Linked DNA regions of Xenopus tropicalis. The protein of the gene in region 3 interacts with the protein of the main gene of each other region in a pairwise test. Links are inferred from orthologs where the notes say so. Each region holds a gene or a part of one and is shown on either strand. Other genes may lie near its edges. The genes, in order: btbd2, btbd1 and top1.1.

Region 1 (3,658 bases), on a different chromosome or scaffold from region 3:
CCACACGGTCCTAGCCATAAATAGCAAAGCCTGAGAGAAAACAAAACTAATGGAAAAAAAAAACAAATTATGTCTGTAGGGGGCTCTGCTACAGATCCAAAGAGTCAGGCACGATATTGCGTACTTCATGCAGTACTTTTAGAAAGTCAGAGCTACTAGTGATTTTCTGTGGACAAGGGATAGCTGGGTGTGCCATTCTCCTAAACTATGCCTTTAAATGCATGCACTGAACCATGCTTTAGTATTCAGGCCATGAGGAGGGAGACAAGCTTTGATAAAATTACCTAAATCGATGTCAGTGAAACCCTCTGCATTTAGGGCATCTGAGGTATTCTTATCAATGTTTTCCAGACAAAGGCTTGCTAGCTGAGGTTCATCAAACAGCCGAGCCTAAAGTTGTTATAACAACAAAATGCAAGAAGTCAGCTCTTGTTTATGGTACCAAAACAAACTCTCAAAGTTTTGCAATTATTTCATTTTACCTATACTCAAAATGCAAGATGACAGCATAAGAACCTAACAATTAGCAGTTTTAATGTCTTAGTAGATCTTAATGAGACATTTTTATTTACCAGTTATGGGTTTACAAAACTATCAATTAGTTTCAGGGACGATCTGCCATTTTTTAAAAAAGTTTTGCCATTGGTTTGCCAGTTGTTTTTTCTTTTACACAGATATGCCAATAAGAACCCCTCATACCTCTGTACTTAACATAACATTTATATCAAAATAATGAGAATGCAAAGCTTATTATGAACATAATCTGACAATTCAAAGTAGGGCCCTTTTTACCTGCTGCATCAGTATTTGTATGTAATCTGCATGTTTAATGTATATATGTTTCTACTGTACAGTGCTGGGGAATACTTTGGTACATTATAAGGTTATGTGAATAATAAAAATACCTGTGTAAGCAACATAAAAGCATTATCTGCTCGAAGGTTCTTCTTTAGAAATTCCACGCAGTGCGCCTCCAGGGCAGGTACAGCATATTTCTTGGCCGTGTATAAAGTTGTCATTACAGTCTCTGGACCGATCTGTACTTCATCAGAGTAAAGGAACCTCAAACAACATTAGTGCTGATTAGACAAAAGCCCAGGTAAATGCCTACTTTACACAAAAATGATTTAACCATTTTTTGTAAAGCTCTATATAAAGATTTTTTGTATTCTATTTTCCTAAGGATATGTGGTCCTTGATTATGTACACTCAATAATGCACCAAAACTTACTTTTACAGTGTTTACTGTTACATATACAGGTATGGGACTTGTTATCCAGAATGCTCAGGACCTGGGGTTTTCTGGATAAGGGATCCTTCCATAACTTGGATCTCCATACCTTCAGTATACTTAAAAAAGCATTTAAAGATTGATTAAACCCAATAGCATTTTTTGCCACCAATAAGGATTAATTATATCTTGGTTGGGATCAAGTACAAGGTTCTGTTTTATTATTACAGAGAAAAAGAACAATCTGAGTTATTTGATGGAATGCATGAAAGACATCCTTCCCATAATTAAGAGCTGGATAACAAATCCCATACCTGTATAAAGTGAAAGCATTAACCTATACTAAAGTATGGAAGTAATAGGCACTAATACCCTCAAAAAAGGTAAGCATATACTGTACTTACTTTAACAAAGCAAGGAATGCAGCAGGTTCAACATCTGGCAATTCTATTTCTGTGGACGTTGTAGCCATTCCACCATTAAACATAGCATCAAAGACTGCACTTCCCACAGCCAACACAAACCTAAGAAGTATAAACACTGAGTTGCTTTCAAAGATACATTCAGTCACTTTACTAGAATCATTTCATATACAATTTATATTCATTAGAAATACGATAGCATTTTGACTGATGAAAGAAAATATAATTCTTAGCAATTTTCCGATATGCATCAGTTACAACTGTTATAAGTTTTAAAAGTTTTTTTTTTTTGTGTTTAGTAATGCGCAGGTTGTCCTTGGCTTTACCATAACCCATCCTCTCCCAATTAAACCCAACAGGCCAGCATTACTAATAAACCCATGTGGGGAGGGACAGGCACAAGAATATAAATAAGTGATTGAACAGGAAGTTCCAATCAGTATTGTTCAAACTCTGATGATGAAGTCAAAAATGGTTTTCCCATAACAAGCTACAGTCAAATAGACCAGGAAAGATTTCAGACACAACTGTCAGGAGACTTTCTCAGGATGCAAACAAAAACCATTAAGCAACTTCTACTGAAATACATGCTTTTCTAAAACAAAGTGCCGTTGTTGTCTCAGCATGCACAATAAGGAGATTCTCCAACTGCATGGTAGAGTTGGCAGAAAAAAAATAAGCCATTGCTGCACCAACGTCACAAAACAGCCCGCTTACAATTTCAGAAAGAGAGAGATGAAAGGGGTGAAATTAGAGGGTAGGGAGAGCAGAAGAAGAAAGGGGAGGAGTGAGCAAATGTAAAGGAGTTAGAGAAGAAAGCTAAATCAAAATGGGGAAAAGTCAAGAAACAGCTGAAAGAAAACAGAATGTTTTTTCAGCCGCACATCTGTGCAATGCTGTATAAGAGTAAAAGATGTAAAGCATAAATGGAGAGAGAAAGTGGAAGAGCAATGGCCAACATGGTGTACAAGATTTCCAAGGTACCCATTTACATCATCCCTGCTCCAATAAAAGTATATACTAAGGCCAATGTTATCAGGAGACTGCATGTGTTTTTGGAAGTGATCAACGGTGCTCAGACTACCAGAATAAAAGCTGTTTGTGAAAAAAAGGCATAGTGTTTCCGCTATTCATGATGTTTGTTTTTTTTTTTTAATTGTTGATTAAAAATATTATAAGAATCTAAGTGTGTTAATGTAAATGTCACAGTTATTTTATTGTGGGTACCGGTACTCTGCTTTAAGCAATAAAGCTAACCATATACTATAAAATCCGCTTGTTTGGTGATGTTGCCACCTAAGATGGCTGATATTGGGCTAACCCAATCTTTTGGCCCTAGGGCCAAATGACTGGATTACAACTAACTATTTAAGGGAAGACCACATCAACCAGCCAATGCGATCATACCTGCTCGATCGACCTCTGGACGATTTTCAGCCAGATATTGGTCAGATAGGACCATCAGAGGCAGATAAGCTGCCAAATAGGTCTGAAGGGCTTGAATCAATAATTACAAATTTGCCTGTCTATGGCCACCTTAAGCCTCTCCACTTCAAATCCCAACTTCCTGCCTTTGGTTTGTTGTTGGAGGATGGTATTGGGTCCAAGAGGCTAAGTCTGTGGGTAAAGGTCAAGTCCACGTGATTAGACCCACATAGGACTCTAACGACTAAACTACATGTAAAGGCCTGAATGAACAAGCATTTTAAAAAATGATATAGTGACAACATCTCTTGTAATAATTTATTCTAACCTAAGAGGCTATCATTTGCCACATTATTGCTAGAGTATACACTGCACGTGAGTAAGTGTACTTTAAAATGTTTTTATAAAATTTCAAAAATGTTCACACGCTAGAACCGATATTTTGAGGGAAACGGCATCTTATTTAACTGGAAAAGCAAATCATTTGAGACAACATAAGAAAATAGCAATAAGCAGTATGGGACAAACAAGGCCTAGCTCCAAATAAACGGTTTGATAATTTGGTATGGCAAGCTAAGGC
Region 2 (3,658 bases), on a different chromosome or scaffold from region 3:
ATGACTGGGTGAGACTGGATGGGCTTATGAGCAGCAACCAGAAATCAATAATGCCATTAATGTGGGCAAACACGTATGCTTTAAATTTTGGTAACAGATGGGCAAGTGTTTTGTAGTGTCAGAACTATGGGAGCATTGCCCAGACTGAGATCATTCACCCTATAGAGGAAACACAAGCAAGCCAAGATGCTTCCATGTAAATCCAGTGTCTTAGAACGTCACTGTGTGACCAGCTAAGCAGGAAGCTTTCCCCCCCCTTTCCCCTTATAATTAGGATTATTATTTATAAGCACCACCCCCCATACAGCAAGTTGGCCAGCTCCAGGCCAGCGATGCGGCCCGTGCCGCTTCGGGTTGCGCCCCGTGCGTACATGATGTCAGTACGCACCGGCGCCCCGTGCGTACTGACGTCATGTACACACGGGGCGCAACCCGATCTTCACCGGTATGGGGGTATTTAAAAAATGAATATCAGTTTTTTTTTAAAAAACGGTATTCGGTATATGGCGGTATACTGCCCAGCACTATGTTTGTGCTTTACAAACAATAGAATAGTAATAATTATATAAATGAAACTGGTATATAATTTGTATCATAAGGCATTTGTGTTGCCTTCAGAGGCTACCCATTTTATAGAAATCCCCTATAATAAGAAATCCCAATAAGGACTGTCAAGCATGGGGAATTGTTGTCTGTAGTATCACCTGACCCTGTCGCTTGTTCCACTGTATCCCCATCGGCTTTCCACTTGCTGGAATCTGGTAATGCTGCATTCTCTTCCACGGAGACAACATCGTGGGCGATCAGTATAGTCTACATGAGGCTTAGGATTTACTGTAAAATGTAGAAAGAGGTTTACCACTTCCCGGTCTGACAAAATTCCAGACTGAGCAGGACCTGCCATGACAAATATAAAACAAAAATACCACTGTAGTGGGCAAGTTGGTGTGGAAATACAGTGCTCATTCTTTATACCATCACCCGCAGTTATCACCAGGTAGCTGCATTTCACAAAAGTACATTTAGTGATGCTTAATAAATTAGACAACATGCTTTATAATGTTGGCCAAGTGGTATAAGAAATACATATTGTACTATATTAGGCCATACGAGTATATCCATCCTTGGTTCTTGCACCACTAATACATATATAGGAAGCCTGTAACTCTTCAGATATAGTTAAACATTTAACTCCAAGCATCACAGTGATGCACTCCCAGTCACTAAATTACCTGCTGCAAACTCCTCTACTGTCATTAGAGGGAAACGGATCAAGGGCAGCGCCTTTCCTAGAACCTTCATTTTGTTTTCTGTGCTGACAGGAAGTTGCTGCCTCTGACATTCAGCCTCTGCCCAACGAACGGCCGCACCAAAGAGATGGCTCTCCCGAATGCTCAGGGTGTCTCGCTGTAAGACTGCGCACAATGTGTCTGAGGAAAGATGCAACTAATCATTTAATACAGTCACAGTGAATTCCATATGGTTTGACAAAAAAAGTGTAACCGTCCAGAAAATTCTGAGTTATAAATATGCAGATTCTCAGTTACAGGAAGGCCATATATTCTTAAAAAAAATCTAAATCATTGGTGAATTGGTTTGTTCATAGCACTTACAGCTACTAGTCAGCCACCATATCAGATTCACCTCCTCATCTTTTGCACCATTTATTATCCAACATGGGTAGCTGGCAGATAAGATTTTTAAAGGGGTAGTTCTCCTTTGACTTAACTTATAGTATGGTATAGACATTTTTTTTATTTTCCATGTTTTTTAATTATTTAACTTTTTGTTCAGCAGCTCTCCAGTTTGAAATTTCAACAGCTATCAAGTTGTTCAGGTCCAATTTATCCTAGCAACCAGGCAATAGCTTGAATGATAGACTGGACTATAAATAGTAGGGGAACTAAAAAGAAACATAAGTAATAACAATTAGCAAAGAAAAGTTACTAAAGCTGGCCATACACGCACCGATAATATTGTGTAGAAGGCCACAGGTATCGGACGACTTGCCGATCGGGCAGGTTAAAACATTTTGATCGGACGCCATTAAAGGCGCCTGAGCAAAATCTATGTTCAAGGCTGAATCGGCAGAAGGAGGTAGAAATCCTATTGTTTCTACCTCCATATCTGACGATTCAGCCCTGAATGTCAGTGGAAAATCGCCACGTGTGTGGCCAGCTTTAGAACAGAACATTTAATGACACATTAAAAGTTAACATGAACGTAAACGTCCCTTTTAAACCTGTCCGATTAGTAAAATAACCAAAAATCAAGATAAATATCAGTTGTAATGGTTTAGCCAGCATACAAGAAGTGAAAATCGGTACACTCCTGGCCATCTTTATGTTCTAGCAACTGCAGTTACTGACAGAGCCCTGACCCTCATGGACCCCCACATATTTGTGCTCTTTGCATGGGTAAATATGGGACAAAGAAAGTAAGTCAGATGTATATGCGACCATTGCATCCCACTATAGCTACTCCATAGTGCCTATGAGCAGGGCTACAATTAAACTGATAGATAGATATAGATTAGATATAATGGCAACTTGTGCTGTCATTTAATAAAACTAACATCCTGACAAGTCCTTACACCTTTTATCCACTAGGCAGAAAATGTAAATGTAACTCCCAACAATGAACAGGGGAGTTTGCTCAACAAGTTGTGGAAGTGATGCCACGAATGAGGCACCTCAATCCAAGAGACAATTTAGACACTCCTCTTCAAGTGACACAGTCTAAAGCTGGCCATACACACACCGATAATATTGTACGAAACCTCGTTTCGTACGATATTCGGTGTGTGTATGGCAAGCCGACGAATCGACCGATATCGCAGGAGGCTGCTGATATCAGTCGACTCGCCGATCGGCCAGGTTAAAAGATTTTGATTGGGCGCCATAGAAGGCGCCTGAGCAAAATCTGTCCTCAGGGCTGAATCAGCAGAAGGAGGTAGAAATCCTATTGTTTCTCCTTATCTGCCGTTTCAGCCCTGAAGGTTAGTGGCGGATTTAACGATCTTTAGATTGCAAATCGCCACGTGTGTGGCCACCATTAGTCTATATATATATATATATATATATATATATATATATATATATATATATATATAAAATAATCATCTGTGGCCAGCACACCCTTCAATGTTTCAAGGATCCTTGAGAAAGGTCCTAACAAGGACCGAAACGTTGGTTTTAACAATATATCTGCAATAAAAAATTTTTTGATGAAACATTGAAGGGTGTGCTGGCCACAGATGATTATTTTCTATGCATACATAATTTTGGCTAAGCACCCCACAGAATATTGAGCCTTGGAGTGCGGACACCATTTGGATATATATATATATATATATATAAAGCAAGACAGTGAGCCGCACACACAGGGACTTAGTTAGAAAACAAAAAAATTTTTATTAATGAAAAAAATCCAACGTTTCGAGCACCAACTGTGCTCTTCCTCAGGGACAAACCCTGAGGAAGAGCACAGTTGGTGCTCGAAACGTTGGATTTTTTTCATTAATAACACAATAGTCCCTGTGTGTGCGGCTCACTGTCTTGCTTTATACATGTTTTTTGCAAGCACCCAGGGCAGTTGATTACTATTAGGGTGTGCTCTGTTTTTTTCTGTATATATATATATATATATATATATATAT
Region 3 (3,658 bases):
CGCTGGAAGATTTCATCTGCAAGAGATAAAAGCAGTCAGGTTAAACAGTGATACTGGTCATAGTGAATACAATAAATATGAGTGCAGGAGGTCCTCAAAACCTCGTTTTGTATGATATTCGGTGCGTGTATGGCAAGTCGGCGAGTCGACCAATATCGCAGGAGGCTGCTGATATATCGGTCAACTCGCCGATCGGACCGGTTAAAAGATTTTGATCGGGCGCCATAGAAGGAGCCTGAGCAAGTTCTGCCATCAGAGCTGAATCGGCAGAAGGAGGTAGAAATCCTATTGTTTCTACCACCTTATCTGCCGTTTCAGCTCTGAACAGTTAGTGGCTGATTGAACGATCTTTCGTGCGACCATCCCAAATCGCCACGTGTGTGGCCACCTTAATGGAGATGACAGCCTCACCTTTTCTTCTTTTCTCTTCTCCCGATCTTTATCTCTGTGTTTATCTTTATGCTTTTCTCCATCTCTATGCTTCTCAGCATCTTTCTCTTTGTGTTTCTCTCCATCTTTATGTTTCTCGCCATCTTTCTCTCGATGCTTATCGTGTTTCTCGCCATTTTTGTCCCTGTGTTTCTCCCCATCTTTTTCTCTGTGTTTCTCGCCATCCTTTTCCCGATGTTTGTCATTGTTTTTGTGTTTGTCTTTATGCTTCTTTTCTGAAGGATCCTTGTGTTCACTGGAGGGGAAAAACAGAAAAAAAGAGCTGTAGGTTGCAAACACTAAATCTCCCACATCCAATTCATGGGCATATAGCTGCTGCGATGGCACTGGTCTATGTATGGGCTCAGGAGATTCCTTTTTTAATTTGTTAGATTTTCATCAGAGAAACACGGCTGGCCAAGTACAGTTTGTGCTAAATATGTAGTCCAGATCCTAGCCTTGTCTATCTTCATATTGTATTTATTCATACAAGCAGTACATTTTCCTACTACAAACTTAAAGATGGCTAAGGCCACACAGCACTTTATAACCACTTATCCTTATAGCAATCATTTTATAAGGCAGGACACCTTTTACATGGATAAACAGCCTAGACATGGCCCTGATTCCCTATATTAGCTGTCCCACAAACGTATAAGTGCTTCAGTATCAATAACTATCCCACTAATTTAACTTGTGAGATTTTCTAATGGAGTCAGCAGCCCTTTCAGGAAAGGTAGGAACATACCTGTTGTTGTGTTTGGATTTTTCCCGGTCTTTGTCTTTCTTATGTTCTTTGTGGCGATGTTCTTTGTCTTTCTTGTGTTTATGAGAGTCTAAATCCCGGAGAAAACAAAAAATCAGTTACTAAACAAGTTACCCTTTATAAAGCAAACAGCCCTGGCAGGCTAAGTGGGACAGGCAAGCTGGCTACCACGAGGTTTAGCCTGTAATTTATACACTACAATTTGTTTTGTTTTTTTAAAAGCTAAAAACACTTCCTCCAGGGCAGACTGTGGTTTTAGGGGTTAATAACCAGGAGAACGAGCAGTTACCAGGCTGATATTTGCGGAATGCGTTGGGTGGAAGGGAACATGCCTACAGGGCAGAGCAGCTTCAATAGCAGACTGACAGCAGGAAGGCACTGCCACCTACCAGAAATGGCCAAGCAAGCTTAACTGCCCCCAGCTATTGATTTTTGAAGTCCCCACCTGCAATTAGACAATAGACTGTCTGGGGCTAAAGAATTGTTCTATAACAACCCCAATTGCCAAACTGGGTCACTGGGAGGGGTGGCATGGGTCTGAAAGAAATGAACGGTATCCAATGTTTTTTTAACTTAATAGGTGCTCGCTATAATTATGTTCTATTGTTTTCTGTATTTACAACCATTTGAGGTGCCCCATCCTTCAGCATCACATTATGCAGGGAAATCAGTCATAACTAAGCTTGTGTATATTCTATATACTTACTGGGAAATAGCAATGCTTACGAAACACAAGGATAATTATCCCTACGACTGTGTGCACCATAATTTGTGGGTTCCATTACTTACAAACCCATTATCCGGAAAGCTCTGAAACACTGCAGTTCCGTTTCCCCTAACATTTAAATAAGTGATTGTTCATTTTGATTGATTCACTTTTCCTTTGTATAGTATGAACCTTGTACTAGTGCAAGCAAGTTGGAGAAAACTACCTACCTATGCCATTGTCCTTAAGCCAATAAGCATACTTGGTAATTGAGTATACTTAATAAATATGGCATTTATGGCATTAAACAATAGGTCAGGGGATCACAACTGGCCACCAGAAATGGCTTGAGTTACACATTATTATTATTATTCTCCTCAAATTTCACCATTACCAGCCTTTAGCCTCCCCCCCACCCAGCCAGTTATATGGGCCTCACTAGGAGGACCAGGCCTACAGTCTGAATTTGGGGTCAGTGCAGTGGTTCCCAGTGATCCCAGTATGCATTCCCAAAAATACCATGGGATCTCAAATGTTTAAGGGCTCAGTCCCTCCTAGGCCCAGAATGTACTTTTCTACCTACTAAACACATCCTACATACTCTATGTAAAGGGAATGCACAGAATCCCGGATTCCTCCTTTGGGGAAACAGGTGGAAGCCAGATGAGCAGCCATGGCAATTGAAACATTATAATGCTCCCATCAGGTAAACAGACGTCCCACCTGCTCGGCTTTCCAGGAACGTTCCATTGCCAGTAGAAGATAAATGCACAAATTCCAAGCCGTAACCAGTTGCTTACATCGGGTATAATTATCCAATCCCCGCGGGAGACATATTTAGTCAATGACACTTCGTTCATTTCAATGCCGGATACACCTCGGAGCAGTGTGAATGAAAGCTTACCCAGTGCTCACTAAAAAAGGGGAGGCTCTAAATACTCTCATGGTACCCCCTCCTTTCCCACACTCCCTGCCAATCTCTTCTATTACACTCGCAGCTCCCACGCCTACATGCCCACGCTAGTAAACTTTATTGGATGATACCAAGTGCTTTACAGAATCAAGGCAAAGTTACATTGTGGCAAACTCAGCCATATAGTGTTGCATCTATTCCTATTTTCCCTTTTTAGAACTAAGCTTTATCAGTTTTATACTTTTTAGAGTAGAAGGAGGACAACACCCCAACTTACTGAGCAAAAAAATCCCCAAACTACTGATGTTTGTCTCCGAATGTCAATTCCCCAGAAAGCTATGGACCAGCTATGTAAAGGCACCAAGTATCCATACCCCCCTTGCCCCAGGGGTGTGATAGGATTGTGGAGGGGGTATGAATGGTGATCTTCATACACAAATGCTTTGGGTGACCCTAAATAGATTTAGAGGTTTATTAAAATGTACAGGTCCAGACTGGCAATCTGTGGATTCAGGCAAATGCCAGAGGGGCTGCTGTAAGGTGCCATAGACACTCACTATTTATTGGGTTTGGGGGGAGCTGTTCGGCCTCTGGGTACTTGGAATGCCAGGACCCAGGACCAGACTGGCAATCTGTGGGTTCAGGCAAATGCCAGAGGGGCTGCTGTAAGATGCCATAGACAGTCACTATTTATTGGGCTGGGGGGGGGGGCTGTTTGGGCCTCTGGGTACTTGGAATGCCAGGACCCAGGCCCAGACTGGCAATCTGTGGGTTCAGGCAAATGCCAGAGGGGCTGCTGTAAGATGCCATAGACACTCACTATTTATTGGGCTGGGGGGACTGT

What was found.
Region 1: the proteins of top1.1 (region 3) and btbd2 interact in a two-hybrid assay, tested with the Homo sapiens proteins (2 studies listed by BioGRID). The link is inferred for Xenopus tropicalis from reciprocal best matches to the Homo sapiens genes TOP1 and BTBD2.
Region 2: the proteins of top1.1 (region 3) and btbd1 interact in a two-hybrid assay, tested with the Homo sapiens proteins (2 studies listed by BioGRID). The link is inferred for Xenopus tropicalis from reciprocal best matches to the Homo sapiens genes TOP1 and BTBD1.

The regions. Positions count from the first base shown.
Region 1 is NC_030677.2:102,971,227-102,974,884, reverse strand, and holds part of btbd2 (BTB/POZ domain-containing protein 2), read right to left. Parts: intron 1,756-3,658; coding exon 1,636-1,755; intron 1,063-1,635; coding exon 906-1,062; intron 391-905; coding exon 285-390; intron 1-284.
Region 2 is NC_030679.2:105,416,832-105,420,489, forward strand, and holds part of btbd1 (BTB/POZ domain-containing protein 1), read right to left. Parts: intron 1,431-3,658; coding exon 1,233-1,430; intron 898-1,232; coding exon 705-897; intron 1-704.
Region 3 is NC_030686.2:40,925,854-40,929,511, forward strand, and holds part of top1.1 (DNA topoisomerase 1), read right to left. Parts: intron 1,266-3,658; coding exon 1,178-1,265; intron 686-1,177; coding exon 412-685; intron 17-411; coding exon 1-16. UniProt on the Homo sapiens protein: Releases the supercoiling and torsional tension of DNA introduced during the DNA replication and transcription by transiently cleaving and rejoining one strand of the DNA duplex.